Stegostoma tigrinum: one gene and its partners. The protein of the gene in region 2 binds, or shares a complex with, the protein of the main gene of each other region. Links are inferred from orthologs where the notes say so. Each region holds a gene or a part of one and is shown on either strand. Other genes may lie near its edges. The genes, in order: rev3l, pold2 and pold3.

Evidence for each region.
Region 1: pold2 (region 2) and rev3l share a complex: the UniProt entries of both Homo sapiens proteins name them as parts of the tetrameric Pol-zeta complex. The link is inferred for Stegostoma tigrinum from reciprocal best matches to the Homo sapiens genes POLD2 and REV3L.
Region 3: pold2 (region 2) and pold3 share a complex: the UniProt entries of both Homo sapiens proteins name them as parts of the both the DNA polymerase delta and DNA polymerase zeta complex. The link is inferred for Stegostoma tigrinum from reciprocal best matches to the Homo sapiens genes POLD2 and POLD3.

The regions. Positions count from the first base shown.
Region 1 is NC_081357.1:23,897,657-23,907,897, forward strand, and holds the start of rev3l (DNA polymerase zeta catalytic subunit), read left to right. Parts: upstream 1-5,387; 5' UTR 5,388-5,595; coding exon 5,596-5,959; intron 5,960-10,241. UniProt on the Homo sapiens protein: Catalytic subunit of the DNA polymerase zeta complex, an error-prone polymerase specialized in translesion DNA synthesis (TLS). Lacks an intrinsic 3'-5' exonuclease activity and thus has no proofreading function.
Region 2 is NC_081393.1:10,600,780-10,611,063, forward strand, and holds the start of pold2 (DNA polymerase delta subunit 2), read left to right. Parts: upstream 1-6,330; 5' UTR 6,331-6,975; coding exon 6,976-7,201; intron 7,202-7,472; coding exon 7,473-7,594; intron 7,595-10,284. Other genes in the region: myl7 (myosin regulatory light chain 2, atrial isoform), read left to right, coding at 596-671, 1,158-1,262, 1,874-1,952, 2,691-2,739, 4,013-4,117. UniProt on the Homo sapiens protein: Accessory component of both the DNA polymerase delta complex and the DNA polymerase zeta complex.
Region 3 is NC_081359.1:111,413,454-111,423,258, reverse strand, and holds the start of pold3 (DNA polymerase delta subunit 3), read left to right. Parts: upstream 1-4,923; 5' UTR 4,924-4,953; coding exon 4,954-5,034; intron 5,035-5,443; coding exon 5,444-5,499; intron 5,500-7,103; coding exon 7,104-7,206; intron 7,207-8,443; coding exon 8,444-8,483; intron 8,484-9,805. UniProt on the Homo sapiens protein: Accessory component of both the DNA polymerase delta complex and the DNA polymerase zeta complex.

The DNA of each region.
Region 1 (10,241 bases), on a different chromosome or scaffold from region 2:
TGAAAGAGAAAATAAAATTGCACAGTAAGAATTGAGAAAAGGTTCACTTAACTTATTATTGGGATGAAGGGCTTATTTTATAAAGAAAGACTGAAGACATGAGAGCTGCAATTGTTTAGCAGAATTACAGGTGGCTTCAGTGAAACATATATGATGCTTGGGAGGGGGTGTAGGGCATAGGAAAGTACCAAGGAGAATGTTTCCACTTTCAGAGAGTTTAGAGCTAGAGCACATGGTTTGCGAATAAGAGGTCTGCCTCCTATTTAGGATGGAGATGAGGAGATTTTATTCTCCTTCAGAGATTTATTATAATGTGAAATGGTGCTTCTGGACACCACAGTGGCACTGGTTAGTGGTTAGTACTGCTACCTTATAGCTCCAAAGGCCTGGGTACAGATCTAACCTCGGGTTTGCACATTCTTTCAGTGTCTGCATGGGTTTCAGCTCTGGTTTCCTCCTCCAGCTCAAAGGTGTGCACACTAGGTGGATTACCCATGGTGAATGTGGGATTATGGGGTTGGGATAATCGTCGGAGGGTCAGTGATGACTTGAAAGGCTGAGTGGCCTCTTTCTACAGTGTAGGGATTCCATGAAATTCAATTCAACTTGAAAGCAGTAGAGAGATAGACAGACAGAATCAATACAGTGTGAAGCTGATGAACACAGCAGGTCAGGCAGCATCAGAGAAGCAGGAAAGTCGATGTTTCAGATTTACATCCTTCATCTGGACTGGGGGGAGGGGGAAGGGACCTGGGAAATAAATAGAGGGAGGACGGGTGAGGCTGGGGGAAGGTAGGTGGGATGGTGATAGGTGGATGCATATAACGGGTAGTAAAGAATGGTCAGTGGGATGGGTGGGGTGGATCGGTGGGAAAGAAGATGGACAGGTAATATAAGATCAAGGAGGTGGGGATGAGAGGGAGGGTTGGACATGGGGTGAGGCCAGGGTTGGGGAGATTTTAAAAGTGGTGAATTCTATGTTGACACCATTGGGATGTAGACTCCCAAGGCGGAACATGAGGTATTGCTCCTCCAGTTTGCGTGTGGCGTCATTGTGACAAAGGAGAAGGGCCAGGAAGAGCATGTCACCCAAGGAATGGGAGGGGGAGCTAAAATGGTTGGCAACCGGAAGGTGTTGTTAGAGTGCAGATGCTCCGTGAATTGGTCACCAAGCCTCCACTTGGTCTCGCTGATGTAAAGGACGCCACATTAAGAGCAACAGATACAGGCATTTGATAAGGTTCCCCACAGCAGCCTCATTCATAAAGTCAGTAGGTATGGGATACAGGGTGATTTGGCTGTCTGCATTCAGAATTGTTTGGCTGACAGCAGGCAGAGAGTGGTTGTAGATGGTAAGTATTCTGCCTGGAGGTCAGTGTTGAGTGGTGTCCCACAGGGCTCTGCTCTTGGGCCTCTACTTTTTGTAGTTTTTATAAATGACTTGGATGAGGAGGTTGAAGGGTGGGTTAGTATGTTTGCTGATGACACAAAGGTTGGAGGTGCCGTTGATAGTATCGAGGGCTATTGCAGGCTTCAGCGAGACATTGACAGAATGCAGAGCTGGGCTGAGAAATGGCAGATAGAGTTCAACCTGGATAAATGCGAAGTGATGCATTTTGGAAGGTCGAACGTAAATGCTGAATATAGGATTAAAAGCAGAATTCTTGGCAGTGTGGAGGAACAGCGGGATCTTGGTGTTCAAGTGCATAGCTCCCTCAAAGTTGCCACCCAGGTGGATAAGGTTGTTAAGAAAGCATATGGTGTTTTGGCTTTCATTAACAGGGGGATTGAGTTTAAGAGCCGCGAGGTTATGCTGCAGCTCTACAAAACCGTGGTGAGACCACACTTGGAATATTGTGTCCAGTTCTGGTCGCACTATTATAGGAAAGATGTGGAGGCTTTGGAGAGGATGCAAAGGAGGTTTGCCAGGATGCTGTCTGGATTGGAGGGCTTGTCTTACGAGGAGAGGTTGACTGAGCTCGGACTTTTCTCTCTGGAGAGAAGGAGAAAGAGAGGCGACCTGATCGAGGTGTACAAGGTAATGAGAGGCATGGATAGAGTCGATACGCAGACACTTTTCCCCAGGGCAGGATTGACTGCCATGAGGGTTCATAGTTTTAAGGTGTTAGGAGGAAGGTATAGAGGAGATGTCAGAGGGAGGTTCTTCACCCAGAGAGTTGTGAGTGCATGGAATAGTTTACCAGTGGTAGTCGTGGAAGCGGAGTCATTAGTGACATTTAAGCGACTGCTGGACATGCACATGGACAGCAGTGAATTGAGATGAGAGTAGGTTAGGTTATTTTATTTTTGGATTAGCGTTATTCCACGGCACAACATCGTGGGCCGAAGGGCCTGTACTGTGCTGTACTTTTCTATGTTCTATGTTCTATGTTCTAAACCAGGTTGGAGGATGTACAGGTGAATCCCTGCTGGAATGGGAAAGGCCTTGGACAGAGGTGAGAGGGGTGGTGTAGGGGCAGGTGTAGCACCTCCTATGGCTTCAGGGCAAGGAGCTGGCTATGGTTGGGTTGGTGGGGAGGGCAGAGCAGTCGAGGGAGTTGCGGTGAGAGCGGTCCCTATGAAAGGCAGATGGGGTGGGGAGGGAAAAATCTGTTTGGTTGTGGGATCAGATTGCAGGTGGCGGAAGTGATGGAGGATGATGCCATGCATGTAGAGTAGGGGTAGTATGTGAAGACCGAGGGTCTAGGCGCGAAATGTCAGCCTTCCTGCTCCTATGATGATGCATGGCCTGCTGTGTTCATCCAGCTCCACGCTTTGTTATCTCGGATTCTGTCCTTATTTTTGTTAGGGGGATGGGTTTTTGAGGGCAGAAATGCGAGAAATGCAAGAGATGCAGTTGTAGGCACTTTTGATCACTGGAGGGGAGAAGTTGCAGTCCTTGAAGTAGGGGAACTTTTGGGATGTCCAGGAGTGGAATGCTCCATCTTGGGAACAGATGCGCCCAGAGATGGAGGAATTGGGAGTAAGCAGGAGAGGCTGGATTATTGGATACATTCAAGGCTAGATGTAATTTCTGAAGAAGGGTCACCTGACCTGAAAACATTAACTTCGATTTCTTATCATGGATGCTGTTAGACTTGCTGAGTTTTTCCAGTAATTTCTGTTTTTGTTTCTAGATATTATGTGTGGATCCGCAGGAGATGGGTGAGATGCAAAATCAACATTTTGCATCAGTTTTACTGTGGAGAAGGATGTGGAAGCCAGAGAGCATGGGGAAATAAATAACGATATCTTCAAAAATGTCCATGTTACAAAGGACAAGGCGCTGGGCATCTGAAAATGTATAAAGGTAGGCAAATCCCTGGGACCAGATCAAATGTACCCTACAATTTTATGGGAAGTTCGGAAAGTGATTGCTGGGCTCTTGCTGAGATATTTGTATCATCAATAGCCACTGGAGAGTTGCTGGAAGACTGGAGGTTGGCTAATGTGGTGCCATTATTTAAGAAAGACAGTAAGGAAAAGACAGGGAACTACAGACCGGTGAGCCTGACATCAGTGGTGGGCAGTTTATTGGAGGGGATTCTGAGGGACAGGATTCACATGTTTTTGAAAAGGCATGGGCTGATTAGGGATGGTCAACATGGTTTTGAGTGTCGCAAATTGTATCTCACTAATTTGATTGAGTTCTTTGAAGAAGTGACGTAGAGGATTGATGAAGGCAGACCTGAGAACATTGTGTATATGGACCTCAGTAAGGCGCTTGACAATATTTTGCATGGTAGACTGGTTAATAAGGTTAGATCACATGGAATTGAGGGAGAACCAGCCATTTGGATACAACGTTGGCTTAAAGTGTGGTGGTGGAGGGATGTTTTTCGGATTGGAGGCCTGTGACCAGAGTGTGCCGCACTAATAGCTGCTAGGTCCACTGCTTTATGTCATTTGTATAAATGATTTGAGTGAAAATAGGAAGCATGGTTAGTTAATTTGCAGATGACGCCACCATTGGTAGTGTAATAGACGGCGAAGAAGGTTTCTTCAGAGTACAAGGGGACCTTGATCAGATGGGCCGAGGAGTGGCAAATGGAGTTTAATCTAGACAAATGTGAGGTGCTGTATTTTGGTAGGGCAAATCAGGGAAGGACTAATATAATCAATGGCGAGGTCCTGGGGAATGTTGTTGAACAAAGAGACCTTGGAGTGCAGATGTATAGATCCTTGAAAGTAGAGTCACAGGGAGACAGGGTAGTGAAGAAGGTATTCAGTACACTTGGTTTTAGTGGTCAGTGCATTCAGTACAGGAGTTGGGAGGTCAGGTTGCAGCTGTACAGGACATTGGTTAGGCCACTTTTGGAATACTGTATACAATTCTGAAGGATGTTGTTAAACTTGAAAGGGTTTAGAAAAGTTTGACAAGAATGTTGCCAGAGTTGGAGGGTTTGAGCTATAGGAAGAGGCTGAATAGACTGGGACTATTTTCCCTGGAGCATTGGAGGCTGTGTGATGACCTTTTAGAGGTTTATAAGATCATGAGTGGCATGGATAGAGTGAAGTCAAAACCTTTTCCCCTGGGTAGGGGAGTCCAAACTTGGAGGGCATGTGTTTAAGGTGAGAGAGTAAAGATTTATAAGGATCTAATGGGCAACTTTTTCACACCGAGAGTGGTGCACATATGGAACGAGGTGCCAGAAGAATTAGTGGAGGCTGGTTTAATTATGGCATTTAAAAAGCATCTGGATAGCTATATGAATAGGAAGAATTTAGAGGGATCTGGGCCAAATGGGAAATGCTGAAAAATTTAGGATATCGGTCAACAGGGACAAGTTGGACCAAAGGGTCTATTTCCATGTGGTACATTTCTTTTGACTCTATTTTAGATAGACTCCTTAGAGAAACCTATGAGTCATCACATCACAGGTGAAGGGCCATGTTGGGAAGGAGAGACTATCATGGTAACATCAGCTGACAGAGGTATTGAAGCCATGCATCGATGGAGATAATCAACCCTCCTGAACCTAACTCCGGATCATGCAACCACTAGTTTTTAATGGAAAGCTGGCCGTTGCCTCGAACTAAATCGCACTGCGGCGTGCTGCCCTATGCTAGCCCACATCTACATCTTGCAACGCAAAGCGACGTCGAACCCCAGTGTCAATCAACTCGCTCCCTCGAAGGGGGCGTGGAACAAACCAATCGGCGCAGGCGGAAAGGCAGTGACGCAAGTAGCAGAGCTCCAGCCAATGGTGAGGGAGGTCTCTCGGACGAGATGTCAACCGCTTGTCAGAGCCTCGGCCGCTGACCAATCAGTGTGCGAAACTGGGCGGGCGGCGGGACTGAGGCCAATGGGAGAGTGGGGATTGGGGAAGGTGGGCGTACGGGAGGCGGGATCAGGCGGAACCCCGCCCCCCTCCTTCCCGGTCTGGCGGCGGCGGTGGCAGCCGTTGCTGCAGTGCAGCTCGAGGAGAGGCCGGCGCTTGCTGTCAGGCAGAAAGAGGCGTCTCCGTAAACAGCAGTAACAACAACAACAACAACACAAGCCTGCCGTGTCAGTCACTCCGGGGTGATGCGCGGCACCGGGCAGGCGGCTGGAAGCTGTGCCCGGAGGATGAGGGAGAGAGGCCGGGGCCATGGATGCACCGTGATGGGCACAGTCAGTGCACAGGCGCGCAGCCTCCCCCTCCTCCCTCCCTGCTCCTGCTAATAAACCCACCCCCCCCCATTAAAAACCTTACAGTACGGCCTGACCCTCACCAACCCCTCCACTTACAGACTCTCTCTGCCTTTTTTTTGAAAGGGACTGGGGCATTTTCCCCCTGCTCCTTTATTTATTTTGCCCACCCCCACCAAGTATTTAGGATGTTTGCAGTGAGGATTGTCACCGCTGACTACTACATGTCCAGCCCCATCAAGGGTCTGGATGTCTGCTTTTCGGAATTCCGAGAGAGCGAGGTGACCAGAGTGCCCGTGGTTCGTATCTTCGGGCCGACACCTGCAGGTAAGCTGGCCTGTGTTGTTGTGAAAATGTTGCCCACAGCACCGCAGTAACGTCCCCACTGCGGGGCTGTTGCAGAGGGGCAGGGTGGGTGTGTTCTTGTGGGGGCGTGGGTGTGTGGTTTGGTCGTTTGGGAGCTGCCTGTGGTCTCGCTTGCCATTTTGTTTTAACCCTCCCGGGGGCTAGAACATTTGCTAACGGCCTGTCTCACTGCGTGTGCACGTACAAAATCGTATTTACATGTGAGTTTAGAATGTGCACGACCACCCACAGCACTGTCCTCTGAATGGTGTTACCCTCCCACCCTTGTGTTTCTACCCCCACCCACGCACCCCACGGTGTGGGAGACTTCATGTTGTCAGACCTAGCTGTGCTCTCGTGTTTTCGCTGGGGATTGTGCGTTTTATTTTCTTTCTCTTTATTTCGAAACTACTTAACGGTCCGAGGAAGGCGAAAATCGTTTGAATGAACTGTATCCAGCGAAGGAGGGGGGAAATATGCAGATCTTTTCATTAATTGTGAAGAGGAATCTCTCTTTTTGCCCCAGGTCACCATGCAGCTCCCTGTGTTTAGTTGAACCTTTTACGGTATCGAGAACAGAACAAGCTGCTTTTGAGTTAACTATGAAGCTCAAGGGATTATATATTTAAAAAAAAACTAGAGGGTAGCCATGGCCACCCCACCGCCAATAACACAAAAGGTGTGGTTTTTAAACAAATACATATTCTCATTATCTTCCATGTATTGAAATAATATTATTTGCATACTGTAATTGTTGACGTTAGTCGCCATGTTTACTTTAGGGTATCTTGCATATCATTTTCCTGGTCAAAGCTGTACTGCACTTGTCAAATTTGTCTGCCGTTGTAAATATGGGTCGTATATCTTCTGTTGTGGAATTGAGGCGATAATTCTTCCTGCATGTTGTGAGAATGTGTTCTGCCTTTTTAAAATCAGGACGGATTTTTTCAAGCCCTGCGGATTCTAATGAAGTGCAGTGATTCAGTTTTCTTTTAAATAGAGAAGCGCTGAAGATGGGAAGAATTCTTGACAGCTGTAGATTTTCACCTTGCTTTGATATAGGCATTTTTGCATGCTTAATGTGCAGTGGATCTGAAGAGTTTGTTTACTGCAAAATATTATCTTCAAGTTAGTCTTATAGTTTGCCTTGTTCCTTACCTGAAGTTTAATTAGAGGTAGCAATCACTGTTTCATGGTTATGATTGACTTAGTGATAAGAGGCAGAGTGTTACCTGGGTCTGATAGCGTATCATAGGATTCAGTGCTGGTTCCTTTTTCATTTTAGTGTGCACTAATGATCTAGACATTAATCTAAGAGGTTTGAATGGTACGTTTGCACATAGCACAAGTGTCAGGGTAAATAGCAAGGAGGAAAGCTTTAGTACAGGACTGTTTGGATGGGCTGGTCCTATAGGCAGAACACTGGCAAATGGAATTTAACTCTGAAGAGTGGAGATGGGGCATTTTGTGAGAACTAACAAGGGAAGGAAGTACACAATGAAAGGTAGGACACCACAAAGTACAGTGGATCAGGTGGATCTTGGTGCACATGTCCAAAGATCCTTGAAAGGAGTGCAACAGGTAAACAGATAGTAGGAACTGCAGATGCTGGAGAATCTGAGTTAACAAGGTGTGGAGCAGGATGAACACGGCAGGCCAAGCAGCATCAGAGGAGCAGGAAGGCAGATGTTTTGGGCCCAGACCCTGCTAATTTGGGCCTGTTTTTATGATTTGCTTCGCCATTTTTGATTTCATGTACTGTCAGAATGACAGTTGAGTTGGTGTTGTCTTGTGATCATATCCACTTACTGCTTACCTGTAAGATTTTCTGGCGGTAGGCAAGGGCTTGGCATTGTGCTTGTACTTTGGCAATTCCTAGTGTGGTCTGGTTGCTGTGATCTCAGCGAGGAGAGCGAATCAAAAGGTAGAAACGCTGGCCACTAGCCGGAAATAAGAGAGGGGAAAGGATGACAGATATAATTGGCAGTGAGAAAGAGTAGAGTTGGTGATGAAATCTGTCAGTGGTTAGTGCAGTGGTCCCCACCTCTCAACTTCAGGGCCTGGCCCAGGAACTGTCTGCCGTTGTGTACTGGGTCCCAGTTGGGAGGGAGTCGCTGCTAGCACTGGAGAAACCAGAATCTGTTTTGTTTTTTCTCACCTTTTGGGTTTCCAGTAAATCTCCGACCCAAAGCTGAACAGAGAAGAGTCCCCTGAGAAGAGCCGCATCACATTATCACCAACTCATTCAGAATCAACCTGTTGCACATTCAGCTATTCACTTTTGTTTTACCCCTTTTGAAGCGGAGCTTTATTATTATTTGTTAGGCTATAGTTTCCAAATTTATGGTATAGTAAGTACCACCCACTTGATATTTAAGGTATGTCGTTTTAACCCTAACCCTAACGCAGCTGTCAACTAAGTTACTAGAAATTCCCACTTTCAATCCTAACATACAAATTGCAATGTTTTCCCTTCCATTAATGTAGTATTTCTTCAGAATTTATGACATTTTTGTCAGCAAGTGAGCTAAGAATGCACCTTGTTGGTGTATCTTACTGTATTTCAACTTTGTTTTTCTCGGCCAACAGATGTCCAAAGGAAGCTAATGCTGCTTTTAATGTTGATCGCCATGTACTGACACTGGAGGGTTGTTTTCCCTTTCATTCATTCATGGGATGAGGCTGTTGCTGGCTAGGCACCATTTATTGTCCATCCCGAATTGCCCAGAGGGCAGTTCAGAATCAATCACATTGCTGTGGGCCTGGAGTCACATGATCGTCAGACCACATCTGGTAAGGATGGCAGTTTCCTTCCCTAAAGGACATTAGTGAACCAGATGGGCTTTCCTTGCAATCGAGAACGGTTTCACGATTGTCATTAGATTCTTAATTCTAGACATCGTACTTAAATCAAATTCCACCATCTGTTGTGGTGGGATTTGAACCTGGGTCCTCAATGTTATCCATGTCTCAGGATTAACAATCCAGTGATTATTACCACTAGGCCATTGCCTACCCTTTACAATGTTGACGCCAGAGTTGAGATGGTTGCCTTGGGAGTGATGAAGTAGACTGGGACTATGCTCACTGGAATTTTGAAGAATAAGGGCCATTTTCAGAAACACAAAATTATGAAGGGAATAGATGAGCTAGAAGGAGGGATGTTGTTTAGACTGGGAGGTTAAACTAGAACTCAGGGGCATAGCCTCAAAATAAGGGGGAGCAGATTTAGAATTGAGTTGAGGAGGGACTTCTCCACCTAAATGGTTGTGAATCTGTGGGATTCCCTGCCCACTGAAGCAATTGATGCTATCTTGCTGAGTGAGGCGGAATCCACAAAAAGATCTGTCATGATCTTATTGAATGGCGGAGAGGTTTAAGAGGCCAGATGGCCTACTCCTTCTCCTATTTCTTACATTCTTATGATTTAACTGAATCTGACTTCTCTATTACCAGTCTACTTGACATAATGTTCCTGTCCATGACAGTATTGGGAGGAATTTACTACTACACTGTGAACACAAAGTTGTATCTTCATACTGGAGATATCATCGGTCAGGTTGTGTGATGCTACTACCCATCAAAATGAATAGATTGAGAACAGATCTAGCAGCTCCAGTGTGGTCAACTACAAGATGCAGGGTCATCAACAGCAGAATTGTATTCAGTCTCAATCTGGAAGCTTGTGGTCTTGTGTATTCCCCACTAAACAATTGTGATTAATCCTCCTTTGATGAGCAATGCAGGAGAGCATGGCATTAGCAGCTTCAGACATAACTAAAAATGATATGCTAACATTTTAAGGCTTCAATAAAAGATTATTTTTGTGCTACACGGTGGAAGCAGCGTGCGGTAGCCTGACCTGAGTGATTCACGAACCAACAAATCAGATCAATGCTGTTGAGGTCCTGTCAAGTTGGTCATGAATGTTAGTGGACTGTTAAGAGGTTCCACAAACATACATGCACCATTGACTGGGGAGCCTGAGTATGTCCAGTGGAAGCATTTTCATCAGTAAGTGCTGTGTGGATGATCCATCTTGTCCATCTCATGAGTCCCTAGCATCACCTTGCTAGTTTTCAATGTATTTACTGTGGAACAAAAATGGCTGAAGGAACTGGATATTTCCTAACAACATCCTAACTGTAGTACTGAAGATATATCACCTTGTACCAGCTGTTCCAATACATCTACAAAACTGGCATCTAGTTATATTACAAATATGTCACTTAGTATTATAGTTTAGGAGCTGACTTTGACTTGG
Region 2 (10,284 bases):
TCTTGTCATGCAACCATCAGGGAACGTCAACTTGATGTACTCAATTAGTGCTGGGACCTATTATTTCTGTGACTGATGGTGGAGTTGGACTAGGATGATCTTTTGGTTGTATTGTTCACAAGATCAACAAAGACCATCCAATGAAATCTTGTTTGCAATTACAGTTTTCATTCTGAAATGGCCAGATCTTACAGTCAGATTTCAATTTCATGCTGTACACAGACTTCTCAAATGTAACAGATGATAAGTTTGAGGCTTTCTTGCCGAGTTGACATAAAGATCCACCACTTATAATTGATTTGGAATTAAAAATCTGATCCATGGTTTCTTGTAAATAGCAGAGCAAGCGATACCAGGGTGTTACAAGAGTAAAAGGTATTCAAGGTGGAAGTGTTTGGACTTTGTGTTTGTTCAGCAGGATAAGGATTCACTGTACTTACTATAGCAATAGTTTTTGAGGCATATTCAAGCACAGGAGTGACAGATATCTTGGCATGCAAGTCGATATTGTGAAGGAAATTCTCAGGATGGTGAAGATCACATGATAAATGATGCTAATGCAATTACTGACTAAACCTCTGTCATGTGTCCCCAGGCCTTCGGCTGCATTGATCAAAACCGTGATGGAATCATCAGTAAACAGGACTTGAGGGAAACCTTTATGCAGCTGGGTAAGTGAACTGGTCTTTCAGTTCTTGCTACTAATTTCCAGCTATTGGCTGTCCAATGGTTTCAAAGTATTACAGGCATTATGTGATCTTTACACATTTATGAAAAGATATGATGATATTTTCTCATCAAATTGTTCAGAGATATTGGGACATACCTCCGGAACTGGTAAGACGTGAACCCAAATCTCCTGGGATATGGGTAGTCACCCTATCATTGCACCAGAGGAGTCCTGACCAGTGATGTCAGTCTCAAAGTGTTTACCGAGATGACTGGTGTCAGGGATTCAATATTCCTGGCTGGAGAGACGGGTTTTGATGCAGAAGTGCTGCAATTGGTCCATGGACTTCATGGCTGATGCTACCTGGTTTCTAACCCCACAGACCAATCCACTTGCTCCAAGAGGACACTGAGCCATTTGTTCAAATAAAAATGGAAATGCTGTTTGAAAATGATATGAATATTAATGTGTTTGAAAATATTTATAGGTAAGTTGAATACCAATGATGAAGAATTGGAAGCGATGTTGAAAGAGGGAAAGGGGCCAATGAACTTTACAGTGTTCCTCAGCCTCTTTGGAGAAAAACTGAATGGTAAGGACAAGACAGCATGCTGACAGCAATTGATTATTCAATAATCTTATTTAGGTATGTGATGAATCTCAATTCAAATTCTTTCATGTCTGATACTACAGTGGAGATGGAACCCATATTTGGAAGATGCTCCTAGTCAGAAGGTTGTTGAATCTGATTCCCATTCAGGTAGTTGGGCACAAAATCTAGGCTGGCACTCCAATGCAGGACTGGGAGCGTTCACTGTCAGAGATGCGATCTTTTGAATCAAGTGTTCAAGTGAAACTCTCTGTGCCCTCTCAAGTGCACCTAAATGGCACTACTTGTAAGAAACGCAGGGTTGTTCTCACCTGCAATGTCACCGTTATTTGTATCCCAACCAGTATCACTCAAACACAATTTGTGGGACCTTGCTGAGTGTAAATTGGCTGCTGTATTTTCTGTATCAGAACAGTTATTGCCCTGTTTTAAAAACACATGTTTGGCTGTGAAGTGTTTTGAGATGCTCTTATGGGTGTAAATGCAAGTCCTTCTTTCTACTTTCAATGCCACATCATATAATTTCAGCTATTCCAGCCCAAATGCCGGTGCTAGCAACAGCAATCGGTTTGAAGCTTATTTTATCTCGACAGGAACTGACCCAGAAGAAACTATTGTGAACGCCTTCAAACTGTTTGATCCGCAAGGAACAGGGCATGTCAAGAAGGATGAGTGAGTTACAAAGTCATTTAAATAGTGAGATAGATGGCACCTGAAAATGTTTCATGAGGATGTACTTTTAGTATTTCAGCTGACATCTTCATCCTGTAAATTTCATAATTTTCAATATAATGTGATTAGCACCAGAGCTGCATACTGACATTTTGTCCATAAATCAGTTAAGCCAATTGCTTACTTTTCTGACAGTAATGCTCTGAGATGTCCTGCTTCTACAAGTTTTTTCACACCTCTTGAGTTGGAAGTACTGACCCCGCATAGAGACAGATGCTGTATTTTTCATATTTACACTAGTCTGTGTGTGCAGTGCTTTAGAATAAAATGCTTTGGGGTATGGCTGCAGAAAGTTTTATATTAGTGCTTGAGTAATCTAAAGGCGTGGGCGGATGATCCGAAGACATGACTTTTGCTAGTTGCCAATTGAGCAATTTAATTTCAGACAATTTGGAAACGAAAAGCCAGGATCTTTATTGGTGACCTTAGAGATTCTAGCACACAAGACGGTCTATTATCCTGAAGATGTGAAAAGTGCTGTTGAGTTGCATGCAACATTGTTCAAATCACTGACGGAGAATAAAGAAAATGCTGATTAGATTTCATACAAGTGAACTAATGATGGATTAAATGAAGATAACTCTGTACCATTAGGTTCAATCCATTTATCATCTAATTTGGCAATACCATTAAAATTTGCTCCTTAACTTTAGGTATGTTTTCTTTCTGCTTTCATAGATTTAAAAGACTCCTGATGACACAAGCTGATAAATTCAGTGCAGATGAGGTGAGATTTTGCTGTCTAAATGTAAACAATGTAAAACATTTGAGGTATTTCATATTCAAAAGCATTCTCAATTAGACTTTGGGAAGAAGCAAACCCATCACACAGTTGTATTTGAGGTGGAACTAAACTATTTAGGGAAAAGAATTGTTCCAGGGAAAATTAACTGCCCACAAGGTGGGGCAGCAACTTGTGGAATGCAAATTTTTACTGAGTATAGCTGTCTCATAGATGATTGCTCCCTCATGGAGTAAAGGTCTCTGTCCCACTAACTCTGAGTTACTTCTGTTCTTTGCCTGAGCAACTTAACAGCATTAACCTCTTTGTCTGGTGACTGACACTTACCCAAGTGGACGTGGACGGTTGAGAGGAGAAGTAATTGGGAGAATAACAAAACACGAGGGATCTGTCAGAGTAGATCGGAAAAACTGTTCCCATTGGGGGAGACATTCGGAACCACAGGGTACAAATTGGTAAATGAAGCAATGAAGACATGAGGAGAAACGTTTTCATGCAGCAGGTGTTTCGGATCCAGAAGGCACCACCTGAGAGTACGGTGGAGGCAGATTCAAGCAAGGCAGATGCAATCAATCAAAGCCAATAAGATTGTGATCCGAGATGAAACAATGTGCCAGGCTCTGAGAGGAGGCTAGTGAGGGGCACAAAGTAAAACTTGCTCATCCAGAGAGCTATCACAAATGCAATGGACTGAATATTCTCATTCTGAATATTATTGTGCTCAGCTGCACAGACCAGAAAGTCGAGATTTAATTCCTGGTCTAGATATTTTCTAATCATCCTGGTCAGAGATGTTATCACTTGAACTGGCCCTCCTGGCTCACAGATAGTTACACAACTCCTCCACCACAAGAGCTTCTAATATTTCCCTTCTGTGCTGTTAGCATTCTGTGACTCTGGGTGGTTATCTAATTATGAGGAAACAGGGCTATGAATCGCTAGTTCTCTAAATGGTGAAGACTAATTGTTCAGTTAGTGTTTCTCTAACCAAAATTGAATAAGCCTGGGGTGTCAGGCATGAAGAATTTCCTGAAGTTGAAAGGGATATGGAAAATAGCGTTGGAAAGCACAGTGTTTAGGACTTTATGAAACTGTAGTTTGTTCATGATCATCAAAAGAAATTTATTGTAGCAAAGACATTTGAAAACCAAACAAATTATTTAGTTTCCTCTATATGTGTGACCCTGGCAGCCATCTGACCTGCTGTTGCGTGCTCATTGCTTTAATAATCCCTATTCCTGTCCTTTTCTCCCCACAGGTAGAACAGATGTTTGCTGTGACTCCCATTGATGTTGCAGGAAACATTGATTATAAATCACTGTGTTATATCATCACACATGGAGATGAGAAAGAAGAGGCCTAGTTTGAATGTTGTTGATGTCTGGCTTCTGCAGTCATCAGTGAAAAATCAGTGATAATGATCGTTGTGAATCAGCTCTAAAGAAAACATGGCTACTCAGAATAGGCAATTTATACTTCAATGTTCAGCTAAGCACAACTACTCATATCAGATCGTGAAGCTCACTCTTGTACTAGCTCACAGCCATTATTAAATTGGTTATTACATGCCATTTTGACACGTTTGTCTCTTGTTGTGTAATTGTTGGCTTCTCACTCCTATGGTTCAATGATTATGGGTTTTTGACCATGATTACTGAGATTGTGGATGCTGACTGGATATGAGGGGCGAGCCTGGCTACACACATATGCGCACTTCAGTGGGAGACATGCTGTAATAATGAGACAGGAACCAGTCTGACATTTCCCTCCAGAACCTTGCACATTGAATGGTATTCGGCACAGACTGTAGCAAAGCTGGGATCTTCCTGTACCACGTGACTCAGTGACTGACTGAATAAACACCCTCTATCATTGGCCAAGCAAATCTACTTCTCTTCCAATAGCTTGATCATACTCAGGCAAACTTGCCTCGGTAACAACTCGCAATAAGTTTGCACTTTTGGGCTCCTCAGGCTGTTTCTCCATTTTCATTTTAAAATATGTAGTGTCACTGCGATTCTATGGAAAGATTCAACAATAAATCAATTGACTCAGTGTCTTTGATAAAGTTAATGTTGTCATTTTGAGTGTGTGTGTGTGTGTGTGTGTGAGAGAGAGAGAGAGAGAGAGAGAGGGAAGGGGTTAGGGTGTGTGTGTGTGAGAGAGAGAGAGAGGGAAGGGGTTAGGGTGTGTGTGTGTGGGGGGGGGGGGTGGTCTGGCACTTGAATTCTTCATTTCCTGTGGTCATAGTCAGTCTGGGGTCTGTCCACCCAAAGTGAAGGGTGTATTTAACCAGGGGCTACTTATGTTGGAGGGAAACTGATGTATTTAATTCTGGCAATTCAAAGTAAAAGAAGGGAAAATAACTGTGAAGGGAGAGGGAAACTCAACATCTAATGAGGAGGAATGTTTAAGGACATGGATTACTTCAGGAGCAATGGAACATTGATGGGTGTCACCATGATGGCCTGTCATGTTCAGTGAAATATCTGTTTGAATAACACCCAATTGTGTCTTTTCAAGATCTCATGTACATGCGAGGTTCTGTCTCACTTCTTCCCAGCCAATAGATCAACTGTCGGTCACTTTGACAACTTCTGGCCGGACTGAAATTCACCCCTGAATCCCAGTCAATTTACTCCCCTTGCCTCAGCATGAGGTTGAAGTTGCATCATCACAGAATTGTCTTCCGGTTTGCATCTGTTGAAAAGCTGTACAGTGCAGCATGATGTTTGGCACGACTATGCTGTTGGGCCAGGAATCAGTGGTCATGTTGATAGGAATGCATCATTCAGAGTGGTGTGTGGGAACATTTGGAAGCTTGGTACTGAAGTCAATAGGGAATGCTCGAAAGAAAGGCACACTGCTTCGTTGGGAGGACCCTTAACAGCCAGGCTGAGCCTCTGACTCAAGCATGACCTGTGTTGACTTCCATTCCCATGCACATAGGAAAATCGAAAACAGCTGCAACTATCCTAGGAGTGGGCAAAGTGTCTTATTTTCTTTCTGAGCATGTGGGCTCAACCTGTGAGTGAAAGGAGGCCTTTCAAGGAGCAATTACATGAATCAAGCTGAATTCATAGTCCACACCAAAGTCATCAGTAATCTTTGTGTCATGCATGTGAAATACATGCAGTGTCCAACTGTGAGGTGCAAATCCTGGTTATAAGACAATTTGACAGTGCTGTTGGTCATTGCTGATTGAAGATTTACATCTCAGGAGACTTTAAATGTGGCAGCTGTGTGCCACAATCCACAAAGAGCCAGAACTAATTTCCTTGTTGCGGTAGGAATGGGGAGCAGTTCTTGTTCCATCTTAAAAATTGTCTAATTTATTTTTAAAATTACATTACAAACGCCTTGCACTACATCCAGGGATGAGAAGTCCTGTTGCCGTTCCAACCACGACAGTGGACTGCCTCCAGAGAGTACACAAGCTGTAGAGCTGGATGAACACAGCAGGCCAAGCAGCATCAGAGGAGCAGGAAAGCTGACATTTCGGGCCTAGACACTTGATGAAGAAGGGTCTCGGCCCGAAACATCATCTTTCCTGCTCCTCTGATGCTGCTTGGCCTGCTGTGTTAATCCAGCTGTACACCTTGTTATCTCAAATGTTACACTGAATACGTCAGGCGAGAGTTGGATCGAAAAGTTGGTCTGATGCCAGTCAGAGAGAATATGGTGCCAGAAAAGTTTGGGCGGGGCTCGTGCTGGAGGAGCACTGGGAACGTGTCCGAAACCTATTTCCTTGGAGATCTGTCTAAGATGGCACAATCGGGGAGGGAGTACCCGAAAAAACGGACGTAAAATTTAAAATCGAGCCGCGTGAGCGGAATCGTTCGGAGAGAGAACACGGAGAACGATCTTCAGGCCTTGGGTGAAAAACGGAGGCGGAACAGCCGCCTTCGAAACATGAAATCGCCCCTCAGTAAGATGGCGGTTTTGAAAAAAAAAAGCCCCGCAATAAGATGGCGTCTGCGTTGTTGTCGTCGCCCCGCGCGCGGTGACAGATCGTTACGTGTTGGTAGTCCCACGCGTGCGCGCCGCTTGGCGGGAATCTCCCAACGGAAAACCGTCCCCGCGCTAAACCCGAGGAGCCGAAACAACGGCGGGGATCGAAGAGAAGTCCAACAAAATTCACGGCGCCGGTGGGTCTGCCAAGGCTCAGAAAGGGAGAGTGGGGGCGTATTTCTTCTTCCCTGCTAGCCACTCATCCACGCTATGTTTTCTGAGCGGGCGGCCCTGAGGGAGCCGACTCTGTTGTCGGCCCCGCTTCCGGCCCAGCCGGGCCCGACTTTCCCCCGGGTCACGGCCGGCTCGTACGAGAACCGTTCCGGCAGCTTCAGGCTGGGAGAGCGCTCTTTCCAGTGCCAGTACGCGCACATCTACGCCGTTCGGTTGCTGCAGATGCGTCCGATGGTGGAGGAGAGAGCCAGAAGGAAATGGGGTGAGTGCTCCTCTCTCTCACACACACACACACACACACACACAACCCCGCCCCGGGTGGGTTGTAAATAGGGAACAGCGTTCGCCTGAACCGCAGTGAAATACTCCGTCTGTATCGTGCCTTAATGTTATTGCAGGGTTGAATCTGCTGCTTTCCAAAGCGGCTCCACGGTCACCGTTAACTCTTGATTTTCTGTTCACACATGCTGCCGGATCTGCTTGGCTTTTCCAGCAACTGCTGCTTTTGTTACTGATTCTGTTGTGTTTCGCAGGAGCCGATCTGCCGGTGAAGAAGCTGTGTGAGCTGCAGGTGGGCGAGAAGTGTTGTGCGGTTGGCACCCTCTTCAAGCACATGGAGTTGAAACCATCTATTCTGCGGGAAATCAGTGAGGAGGTAGGAGGCCGAACCTGGGACCCATCTCCTTTTGAACTTCTTGAGGACGCACTGTCGACCTTAACCTCTGCTGAGCACCCTTTTATTTAGCTGTCAGGATAAGACCAGAGAAACTGATGTCTTCAAATTTTTAATCAGCATCAAACCATGTCTTTATTTCTTTGCATGGCGAAGGATCCTAGATTAGAATTCAGCAAAACAGAATTTGTGTACCTCTAACTCCCACTGGGCTGATTGTCAGGGTCTGGACTCTGGCAAAAGTGTCACCCTATTGGTCCTTTAAGAGTGTACAGGAATCTGATGCATCGTTATTCCATTGCACTTGTTTGGAGTGGTGTGTCATTCATTCAGATGATGGCTGACCTAGTAGTGGTCTCGACTAAACTTTGGTCTGCACTTGTGTACTTAATTGTTTAACAACTAATGACCTGCAAGAAATAAGAACCCAACCAAAGTTGTGGGTAACATTGCTCAGCCCCTTCAGTGTGTTGACCACTCAGTGGCACCTTGGCTGATCTGACCTTTCTCATGTCCACTTTTCACAGTATGTTTGTTTTCCAGGGGAAGAGCTCCAGGGGTTCTTGCACTCTGCTTAGTCAGTTTAAGTGGTCTGGTGGTTATCCATTTTCTTCTGCTTGTGGAATCTCAGCCTGCTGTGTGCCCACCTCTTTGTACATGGTGTCCATAATAGTCTGAACTTCACTGTTCGTGTTTCCACATGCCACTCTGTTCCGAAACTGGGGCCTCCTGGAGCAACTGATCGAAACGCTTTCTGCACTCATCCTGGCCTTGGGCACCGGAAACATGCCCGACCTCCTGAAGCAGTAGGAGCAAATTAGGGCTTGGAGCTCTCCTGTTATGACTTCGTCCTTTGAGTTAGAAAATAGGAAGAGACGTAAGCCGTTTGGCCCTTTGAACCTGTCATCATGGCTAATCATCCGACTCAATAGCTTTTCCCCTATATCCTTCAGTTGCTTTTGCCCCACTGGTATATCCACCAGTCCTCCAGGACCTTCCCGTGCTCAGGCGATCCCTGAAAGATCACCATCAGTGCCCCTATAATCTCCTCAGCTATTTCCTTCAGAACTCTGGAGTGCACTGTCTGCTCCAGGTGATTTATTGACCTTCAGACTTTTCAACTTCCCCATTACTGTTTCCCTCATGCCCCAAATTCCCTCAGACCTCAGTTTTATATTCAAGAGCAGGAGTACTCATCTTGAGAAAATGAGGGACAAATACGCTGCTCTGTGTTTTACCAATAAAATGGACTGGAATAAACTCCATTCAAATATATCAAAGAGATAGCCTAGACTCTGACTTTTTCTGATTTAAAGGCGATTGTAAGATGTTGTATTCCAGATGTAATTTTATGGCCATCTGTGTGTGGAGCCACAGTAGATGGACGAGAAACAAAACAAGTACTTCATGTCATTGATTACTATAGAGAAGGGTATGGAAGCTTGATAACTTGGAATAGTGATATTTTGAAATGTGCCTGTATAACAAGAGGGGGTGCTGGACATCTTGAAATGAATAAAAGTGGAGAAACCCCAGGGGCTGATGAGGTGTATCCCAGCGCTTTGTGGAAAATTGGGAAATGATTGCTGGGCCCCCTGCTGAGATATTTGTATTACGGAAAGCTACAGATGAGGTTCCAAAGACTGGAGGTTGGCGAACGTGGTACCATTATTTCAGAAGTGGTAAGGAAAAGTGAGGGAACTATAGACTGGTGAATCTGATATGAGTGGTGAATAACTTGTTGGAAGGGCTTGTGAGGGCTGGGACTGTATGCGTTTGGAAAGGAAAGGACTGATTAGGGAGAGTCAACTGGCTTTCTCGAGTTTTTTATTTGAATAAGTAACAAAGAAGATTGAAGGTGGAGCAGTAGACGTTGTCTATTTGGATGGCAGCAAGGCGTTCAACAGGGTTCCGTGAGGTCGTTAGTAAGGTTATATGACATGGAATCCAAGGGGAGTTAGCTAATAGGGTACAAAATTGGCTTGAAGGTACAAGACAGGGTCATGGTGGTGGAAGGTTGTTTTTCAGACTGGAGGCCTGTGACAAGTGGTGTGCTGCAAGACTGGTGCTGGGTCCACTGCTTTTCATCATTTTTCTAAATGATTTAGGTGTGACTATTAGAGGAATGATGATTAAGTTTGCACATTACAAAAAAGATCGTGCAGAAGATGATCTCACATTACAACGCGGCTTTGGTCAGGTGGGCCAATGAGCCGAGGGGTGGCTGATGCAGTTTAATTGAGGTAAATATGAGATGTTGCATTTTGGTAAGGCAAACCGATCAGGACTTCGACAGTTAATGGTAGGTCCCTGGGGAGTGTTGTCAAACAGAAGTACTGAGGAATGCAGGTGCATAGTTCCTTGAAAATGGAGTTGCAGATAGACGGGGTTCTGAAGAATGCATTTGACACACTTGCCTTCATTGGTCAGTGTATTGAGTACAGGAGTTGGGAAGTCATGTCACAAGCTGTACAGGACATTGGTTAGGCCACCTTTGGTATACTACATTCCATTCTGGTCTCCCTGCTAAAGGAAACATGCGAAACTTGAAACGTTTCAGCAAAGTTTTACAAGGATGTTGACTGAATTGAAGTGTTTGATCTATAGGGAGAGACTGAACAAGTAGAGGCTATTTTCCCTGGAGTGTTGGAGGCTGTATGGTGACCTGACAG
Region 3 (9,805 bases), on a different chromosome or scaffold from region 2:
CCTTTGCTCACTAACAAACATGCTTCAAAATCTCCCCGTCCCCCACCACATCCCAAAACCAGCCCAGTTCGTCCCCTCCCCCCACTGCATCCCAAAACCAGCCCAGCCTGTCTCTGCCTCCCTAACCTGTTCTTCCTCTCACCCATCCCTTCCTCCCACCCCAAGCCACACCTCCGTCTCCTACCTACTAACCTCATCCCACCTCCTTGACCTGTCCGTCTTCCCTGGACTGACCTATCCCCTCCCTACCTCCCCACCTATACTCTCCTCTCTACCTATCTTCTTTTGTCTCCATCATCAGTCCGCCTTCCCCTCTCTCCCTATTTATTCCAGACCCCTCACCCCATCCCCCTCTCTGATGAAGGATCTAGGCCTGAAACGTCAGCTTTTGTGCTCCTGAGATGCTGCTTGGCCTGCTGTGTTCATCCAGCCTCACATTTTATTATCAGGAAGATAGTGACCTTGGTTCTGCAAGAATGACCTTGTTTGTGGTAACAAATGATACTGTTCCATCACTTTGTTGATGATTGTGAGCAGACTGATGGGGTGGGAATTAGCCAAGTACTGAGGAGGTGGGGAAGCTGCAGAAAGATTTAGACAGTTTAGGAACGTGGTCCAGGAAATGGCTGATGAAATTCAATGTGAGTAAATGTGAGGTTTTGCATTTTGGAAAAAAGAATACAGGCATGGACTATTTTCTAAATGGTGAGAAAATTCGTAAAGCAAAAGTACAAAGGGATCTGGGAGTGTTGGTCCAGGATTCTCTAAAGGTTAACTTGCAGGTAGAGTCCGTAATTAAGAAAGCGAATGTAATGTTGTCGTTTATCTCAAGAGGGTTGGAATATAAAAGCAGCGATGGGCTTCTGAGGCTTGATAAAGCTCTAGTTAGGCCCCATTTAGAATACTGTGTCCAATTTTGGGCCCCACACCTCAGGAAGGACATACTAGCCCTGGAGTGTGTCCAGCAGAGATTCACACGGATGATCCCTGGAATGGTAGGTTTAGCGTATGATGAACGGCTAAGGATCCTGGGATTGTACTCATTAGAGTTTAGAAGGTTGAGGGAAGATCTAATAGAAACTTACAAGATAATGTATGGCTTAGAAGGGGTGGACGTTAGGAAGTTGTTTCCGTTCCATTGAAATGCCCATCAGCCATGATTTAAATGGCAGAGTGGATTTGATGGGCCGAATGGCCTTACTTCCACTCCTATATCTTACGGTCTTATACATTTGTACTGTTTTTTGGTGCACAGAAAATACTTCAGATTCATAGAGTTAGTCATCGAGTTGTATAGCACAGAAACCCAATGGTCCAACTCATCTATGCTGACTAGATATCCTAAATAAATCTAGTCCTATTTGCCAGCATTTGGTCTATGTCCCTCTCAACCCTTCCAGATGCTTTTTCAATGTTGTAACTGTACCAGCCTCCACCACTTTCTTTGCCAGATCATTCCAAACATGCACTGTGAAAAAGTTGCCCCTTAAGTCCTTTTAAATCTTTCCCCTCTCACTTAAACATATGCCTTCTAGTTTTGGCTTCCCCACTCCAGGTTAAAGGCCTTGTCTATTTATCCTATCCATGCCCCTCAATTTTATAAACCTCCATAAGGTTATCTCTCAGCTTGCGACGCTCCAGGCAAAGCAGCCCCAGTCTATTCAGCCCTACCCTATAGCTCAAGCCGTCCAACCCTGGCAGCATCCTTGTAAATCTTTTCTGAACCCTTTCAAGTTTCACAACATTCTTCCTAAAGCAGGGAGAACAGAATTGCATGTAGCATTCCAATAGTGGCCTTACCAACATCCTGTATGTCTGCAACATGATCTTCCAACTCCTATACTCAGTGCATCGACCAATAAATGTAAGCATACCAAATACATTCATTACCCCATCTATCTAACTGCAACTCAATTTTCATGGAATAGTAACCTGCACTCCTAGAAAATCTGCCACATTTTTGGGTAGACGCCAATGTTGTGGCTACAATAGAACACTTGGCTCAGTAAATTTGTAGCTTTTCAAATTTTGGAGCACAACTGTTCATGACCTTTGCTGGAACGTTGCCAGGACCCATTGACTTTGCACTATCCATTAACTTCAACTGTTTCTTAAAATCATGAAGTGAAGTGAATCAAATTGATTGAAAATAGGGAACCTTCACAGGCTGAGATGGATCATCTATTCAGCCCTTTGGATTGAAGATGGATGCAAATATTTCAGCCTTGTCTTTTGAAATGATGTGCTAGGCTCCTCATCCTTGATGATGGGATATTTCTGAAGCCTTTTCCTCCAATGATTCACTTACTGACCATTACTGTTCACAACTGGATTTGGCAGGATTGCAAAGTTTAGTTCTGACCTGGAGACAATAAGGACTGCTGATGCCCGAATCCAGAGTCTTCAGACCCTTAGTTCTGATCGGTTAGTTGTGTAATCCTAGTGCTGCCTAATACTTGTCATTTGGCACACAAATAGTCCTGCGTTATAGCTTCATCAGGTTTTCACCTCATTTTAAGATTTGCTCAGTGATGCTGCTTGGAGCCCTCCTGCACTCTCCATCGAACATTGTTACTTAAGTGGAGGAGCAATTCATGACCCAAACACATTACATTGGACATACAACCTAAGGGGACTCAGTATGAACCTCAGGAAAATCACATCAATGCCATTGTGTCACCTGGCCCAAGTCTCCCTTGTTGGTTAGCACATTAAATTTTGGAGTTGGGAGGTCATATTCTGTTCTTCCTATCAGAAAGATGTTGTGAAACTTGAAAGGGTTCAGAAAAGATTTACAAGCATGTTGCTACATTTGAGGATTTGAGCTTTATCGAAAGGTTCAATTGGCTAGGGATATTTTCCCTGGCAAAGGCTGATGGGTGACCAGATAGAAGGTCAGAACGACCACGGACAAGGTGAATAGTCAAGGTCTTTTCTCCAGGGCATAGATTTAAGGTTAGAGGGGAAAGATTTAAAACAGACCCAAGGATCAACTTCTTTCATACAGAGGGTGGGGAGTGCATGGAATGAATTGTCAGAGGAAGTGGAGGAGGCTGGTACAATTGCAACATTTAAAAACCATGATGTGGCATGTGTTGGACTGGGGTGGACAAAGTCAGAAATCACAAAACACCAGGTTATAGTCCAACAGGTTTATCTGAAATTACAAGCTTTCCGACTGCTGCCCCTTTGTCAGGTAAAGCCCTGATGAAGGAGCAGTGCTGCAAAAGCTTATGGTTTCAAACAAACCTGTTGAACTATAACCTGGTATTGTGTGATTTCTAACATATGAAAAGCATCTGGATGGGTGTAGGAATAGGAAGGGTTTAAGAGGGATACAGACCAAATACTAGCAAATGGGACTAGATGAATTTAGGATGTCTGATTGGTACGAACAAGTTGGACTAAAGGATTGGTTTCCTGCTATACATCTATCTCTGTGACTTTATTAAATTTTGTTTTATCGCTACTTGGGGTAAAAGTGCCACTGGACTGGAAATATTAATCCTGTTTTCTCTGCATATATGATGCCCAACATACTGACTTTTTCCAGCAATTTTGTGCCCAATTTCCAACATCCACAGTTCTTTGATATTTTTTGTTTCATCACCACTTGGGGACCACCTTGGGATATTTCAAAATCAAAGAATGGTCACAGCATAGTAAAGTACCATTCTGAGATAACAAAGTGTGAAGCTGGATGAATGCAGCAGGCCAAGCTGCTGTGTTCATCCAGCTTCACGCTTTGTTATCTTGGATTCTCCAACATCTGCAGTTCCCATTATCTCTGATCACAAAATACCATGCTAGCTCTCTTCAGAAGCATTTTGGCTAGTGCTACTACCCTGCTTTTTCCTGTAGCTCTGCAAATGTTTCTTTTTTCAGATTATCCAATTACCATTAAAACCTATCCTCACGACATTTTCAGGCAGTATATTCCAGATCTTAATCCCTTGCTTTGGGAGGATGCGTTTTTCCCCTCACGCCTCGGTTTCTTCTATAGCCAATTCTGTTAAATCTTTGTACTCGTGTTCTTGGTCTTTTCACCTGTGGGAACTCCTACCTACTCCATACAGACCAAAGTTGTTTTTATTTTCTTTTCCTCCCCTCCTTCTGCACGGACGTCGGAGGTCGGTTATCTTCAGGGGCTTCCAAAAGCAGAAATCATGCAACAGCCTGACGATCTATGGGAGAGGTTCTGGGCAGTGTTCAAAGGAAAGTTAGTCGGCACCTCTCATCAGTTCGAACACCTCAATCAAATCTCCTCTGACCTGATCTGCTTCAAGGAAAACAGTCCCAACCTCTCCCATCTATCGATGTGACCCAACATTGACTATTACAAGTTTATAAACAGTGAGACTCTGTACTGGGTTTCTAATCATCACAAAACCTTCAGGCAGATAGTGAAATTCAACAACAAAATGTGAGGCTGGATGAACACAGCAGGCCAAGCAGCATCTCAGGAGCACAAAAGCTGACGTTTCGGGCCTAGACCCTTCATCGGAAAACGGGGATCCTTTATACCGCAATGCATTCTAATTTCATAGGCTCTTAAATAAATTGAGCTTGAACCGAGTTTTGAAAATTCAAACATTCCTTACCAATTCAGATGAATGTCACCAGCTCAAACCTGCAGCGTCGCCATCTTTGTAACCTTTAACCCCACCGCAATCCTTCGGCAGTAAAATACTTTATACTCATTTGCCCCCTCGTTGGTTCATGTTTTGCAATCCCCATGAAACGCCCTTCAGTAAAAAAAAAACAATGATTTTATTGTACGGTGATTTCTTTTCAGGGGTCCGGGCGACCGGCCTGGTTGCCGGGGAAACAGGCTCCTGCCAGCCGATGACCCTTGACCCCGAGGTTTCCACCGCCCCGCACGCGCAGGCTCCGCCCGCCGTAGACCCCGCCCCGTGACCTCTCACCCCTCCTCGCTTTCCCGCTTCGGCCGCGATGATGGAGGAGCTTGAGCTGCTGTTGGAGAATATCGAGGAGCTGGTGGCGGATGAGAACCGGATCGTGAGCGGGGGCAGGGTGTGAGGGATTATACACCCGGGAGAGAGGGACGGGGTCCGAATACACACCCGGAATATGTGTGCGCGCGCGCGCGTCCGGGATGCCGGGGGGGGCGTGTAAGGGGGAATATATATACCCGGGGTGGGTGGGTACATGAATGGGAGAATGTATGCCCAGGATTGGGGGTTGGAAGTGTGAGGGAATACATGGGGGGAATGGTGTTGGTGCGGCGGGGAATATACACCGCAGATGGGGGATATTCCCCCAATGTGGGGTTGAATATATACTAAAGAGAGCAGTTGCAGGGAAATATGTTGGAGTAATAGGAACATATGTCCTTGGTACGGAATGGATATACACCCCATTTGAAATGTAATTTCTTGTCTTGCTGCTGTACCTGTTTTTCTAGTTGGATTTTGTTTTTCAGGTCACCTACAAGATGCTGAGCCAGTTCCTGGGCATTCATGTCAACCAGGCAAAACAGTAAGTTCAATGATTTGTGAGACACCTTGCGTCACATTCCACCATCAAATAGTATGCAACAGAACCACTTCTCACAGTCAGATTTCCTGGAGAGGGATCCCTGTGTCACCCACATCTGCGGTGAGGAGTGGAGGGAATGGGCCAAATGTGAAGAGATTGTGGGTATAACAGTTGTGTGTGCTTCATTAGCATTTTGCTATCTGGCATCCTTATTGTTGTAAAACATGTTGCAATAGGTCTTGATAGCCTCAGGTAGGAACAGATCAGATAATAGGTCAACCGTAGTTCTTTCTTTTCATCTGACATAAATTGGAATGGTATGCATGTTGTGGACATATGTGTCACAGTTTGAAGGATGTGTGTCACACTTGTAAAATCTGACGTTAAATTTTCTAATATTTGAATATCATTTGTAAGAAAAAGCTTGCATTTATATTGTGGTCTTGTATAATAGAAGGTAAGATAATATTATAAGAGCAGGCATAGGCTATTTGGCTACTAGGTATAATCATTGCTGACCATCTGTTTTAGTACGCTGTTCCTACTTTGCCTGTGTACCCTTTGATCCCTTTAGTCCTGAGAACTATATCTAATTTCGTTCTTGAAAGCATTTAATGTTTTGGCCTCAACTGACTTCCGTGTCAGAGAATTCCACAGACTCACCAATCTCTGGGTGTAGAAGTTTCTCCTCAACTCAGTCCCCATATCCTTAGATTGCCACTGCTGGTTTTGGACATTTTCCTCATTGGGAAATCCTTCCCAGTTCCCAGCATTTTCCCAGTCCAATCCGCTTATAATTTTATAGATTTCTGTGAGAAAATGCCAGTAAATATAATCCCAGCCTGTCTTGATGCTTCAAGACCCGCTGAGGTTTTCCAGCACTTTCAGTTTCTATTCCACATGACCTCCCTGTTTACCAAGTCTCTGTTCATCTGTGTCTCCTTTCATGGCTGAGTGCCAAGTTTTAGATTTAATAGTTGTGAGATGCTCCGGAATGTTTTTCTATGTTAAAGTCGAGTTTAAATGCACTCGAGTTTAAATGGATGTTATTGAGAATTCTGGAGCTGATATTTTGAGTTTCATAGAATCCCTACAGTGTGAAAGTAGACCATTGGCCCATCAAGTTCACACCCACCCATACCCAATTCCCCTGCCTCATCCCTGTAACCCTGTATTTCCCGTGACTAATCTACCTAGCCCACACATCTTTGGACTCTGGGAAGAAACTGGATCACCCAGAGGAAGGCCATGCATGCAGATATGGGGAGAATGTGCAAAATCTACACAGACAGTTGCCTGAGGGTTCCTGGCACAGTGGAGCAGCTGGGCTAACTCCTCGGCCGCCCAAGATTTAGTGCCATTTCAATTGTTGCTACGTATTGGCTGCCCATGGCTATCTTCCTGTTACTAACTTTAGTAGCCCTCTTTTGCTGAGAGATTCTGCTAGGGTCCATTAAGGAGTTTGTATGGATCTTTTAGCAACTGCTTTTGAAAACAAGGTTTGTCTGCCTGGTTGTGAGACCGATCTTGTTCACCAGTTTAGCTTTGTTGCAAGAGGTTTTGTACCTTTAACTGTGTCATTTTCTCTTCTGTCTGCTTCCCAGAATGCTTTATTACTACGTGGAGCGAAAGCGGAAAGAAAATTCTGGAGCCCAGCTCCATGTGACGTATCTCGTGTCAGGGAAAGCAGTCGAAAATGGAATATCGGTATGTCTATTTGGAACAATTAGTGACATCAGAAAAGTCGACATTAGGAATTGTCAGGACCACTTTTTCACATCCTCTCACTTTTCTATTGTGGAATGCCTAAGGGCAAATAGCCCACCAAGTTTGTGGATTTCATCGCAAACAAATCGCATTCACCTCATCTATCCTTTAAGACCGCTCCCAGTCTAATCCCACTTTTCTGCTCACTCCATGTATCCTTTAGTTAGATTATCAGAAGTAGGAGCAAGGGGAAAGTATTGATCCGTCAATGCAGTTTAGTCGTTCAATAAGATGACAATTGATATGATTACAACCTTAACATCATTTTCCTGCATGTCTCCCCTTCATATTTCCCCCACCATGACTACCACCACCACTCTCCCTTAACCTTAACACTACTTGTTGGTCTGAAATTTGCCTAACTCACCACTGAATATAGTCAATGATCCAGCCTCCACTGTTGTCTGACGTAAAGAATTCCAAAGACGAATTATCTTTTGAGAGAAGAAATGTTTCATGTATCCACCTCAAATGAGAAGTTCCTTATTTTGAAATAAAAGCAAAGTATTGAAGAACTGAAATTAAACAAAGTGTTGAAGAAACTGCAGATCTGGCAGTATTGGTTCTGAAGAAAAGTCATTGCACGCTAAACATTAATTCTGTTCCTCTCTCGCAGATGCTGCCAGATTCTAGTACTTTCTTCCCTCAATTTGAAATATCCTCTCAGTTTTCAATGTCAGAATCCCATAGGATCTTGTACATTTGAATGGGGTCACCTCTCATTACTAAACTAATTATTCAGCCCCTTTTATGATAATCTATAGCTTTATCAGCCTAATTACTCTACTCATTCTTTAAAATATGGTCCCATGCTTGCTTCGGGGATGCATGTATCTCTGGTGTGCCGCTCAGTCACATACAGTAAGAGAATCTCAGGTTCCAGCCTTGATCTGTACTGAATTAGCTGATCTCACCCAGGACATACTTGATTGCTACAGTTGGGCTCAATGCTGCTTGCTGGGGAGAGACTTGCTTCCTGATCTCTGTTACAACAGCACCCTCCAACATAAGCACTGACAAAGATTACAACTGGCATCACATCATCACAAAGGCTTTCTTAAGCAGAATTGGTTGTATGGGCTTGAGATGCTGAGATGTGGCCTGGTAGTCTATCCTTGGATAGAGAGTTTAACTGGCTGGCTGATCACCCACTAACTCCAATATTGCTTTATTCCAGTGTCACAAGGTAGCAGTGGTGAGAGAAGATCAGCTGGAAGGTAAGAGTAGACACCTACACTTAACCCAGTTATCCACATCTGCAAGCCCCTCAAGGCTTTGACCAATTGTTTCTTGGAGACAACAGCATCTGTCTTTTGTGATACTGTGATCCTTCTGCACCAGGCACAGTGCTCAAATTGCGTGTGTTGAAATGAGAAACATCAACTCCCCCTCGGGAGAACAGAGAAACTAAATAGTTCTATTTTGAGGTGAGAAACCCGTTGGGCAATTCTGCCCTTTGCTCATTGGCCAGTTTGAAAGAAGGAAATAGATGTTCTGACTTAGGAGTTACACAAAGTTTTCAGGTACAGCACATAATCGAGAAGGCTAATGGAATGCTATCCTTCATGATGAGAGGAATTGAGTATAAAATTGACAATGTTCTGCCTCAATTATACAGAATGTTTTGAGACCACATCTCAAGTACTGTGTGCTGTTTTGGCCTCCTTATTCAAGGAAGGATACAATTGAAGGTGGTTCAGAGGAGGTTTACTGGATTGATAACTGCAGTAAGTGGGTTGTTTGATGAGACTAGTTTGGTTGGAGAGGGGTGACTTGTTTGAAATACATAAGATCCTGATGGCCTTGAAAGGTGGAAGTGGAAAGCATGTCTCCCTTCGTGAGTCAGTTCAGAACCAGGGGCCAATTTTAAAATTAGGCTTCATCCTTCCAGGACAGAACTTGGGAGTAGAATTTTTTTCTGAAGGTTGTGAAACTCTGACTCAGAAAGCAGTGGGGGAGTTATTGAATTTTTTTCAGACAGTTCTTTAGGATTGGATGGGAATGTGGAATTCTAAGCAAACAGATGAGTCATGATCTTGTTGAATGTGAAGTAGACTTGACAGGCCATATGGTTTCCTTCTGCTTATGTTTTGAGTATTCATATGGCCTACATTGGCTCCCAGTTAAGCAGCCTCAATGTTTAAAACTTATGAATTGTTTTCAATCCGCTCTATCTCTGTACTACCTTCCAGACACTCAGCCCTTATATCTCTGTACTTCAATTCTGGCCTCTTGCAAATGCCTGATTTTGACTGCTGCACCACAGCTGGCTCTGTCTTCAGCTGCCAATGTCCTAAGCTACCTCAGATTTATCTCTGTTTTCTATGTCTTTGTTTTCTTTTTACGATGTTTTCATAGGTAATTGCCTTCCTGTTAGAAGCAGAGTGGGGAGAGAAATTGAGAGAGATTCACTAGATAAGAACAAAGAAAATTACAGCACAGGAACAGGCCCTTTGGCCCTCCAAGCCTGCGCCGATCCAGATCCTCTTTCTAAACCTGTCATCTGTTTTCTAAGATAATGAAATGTGAGGCTGGATGA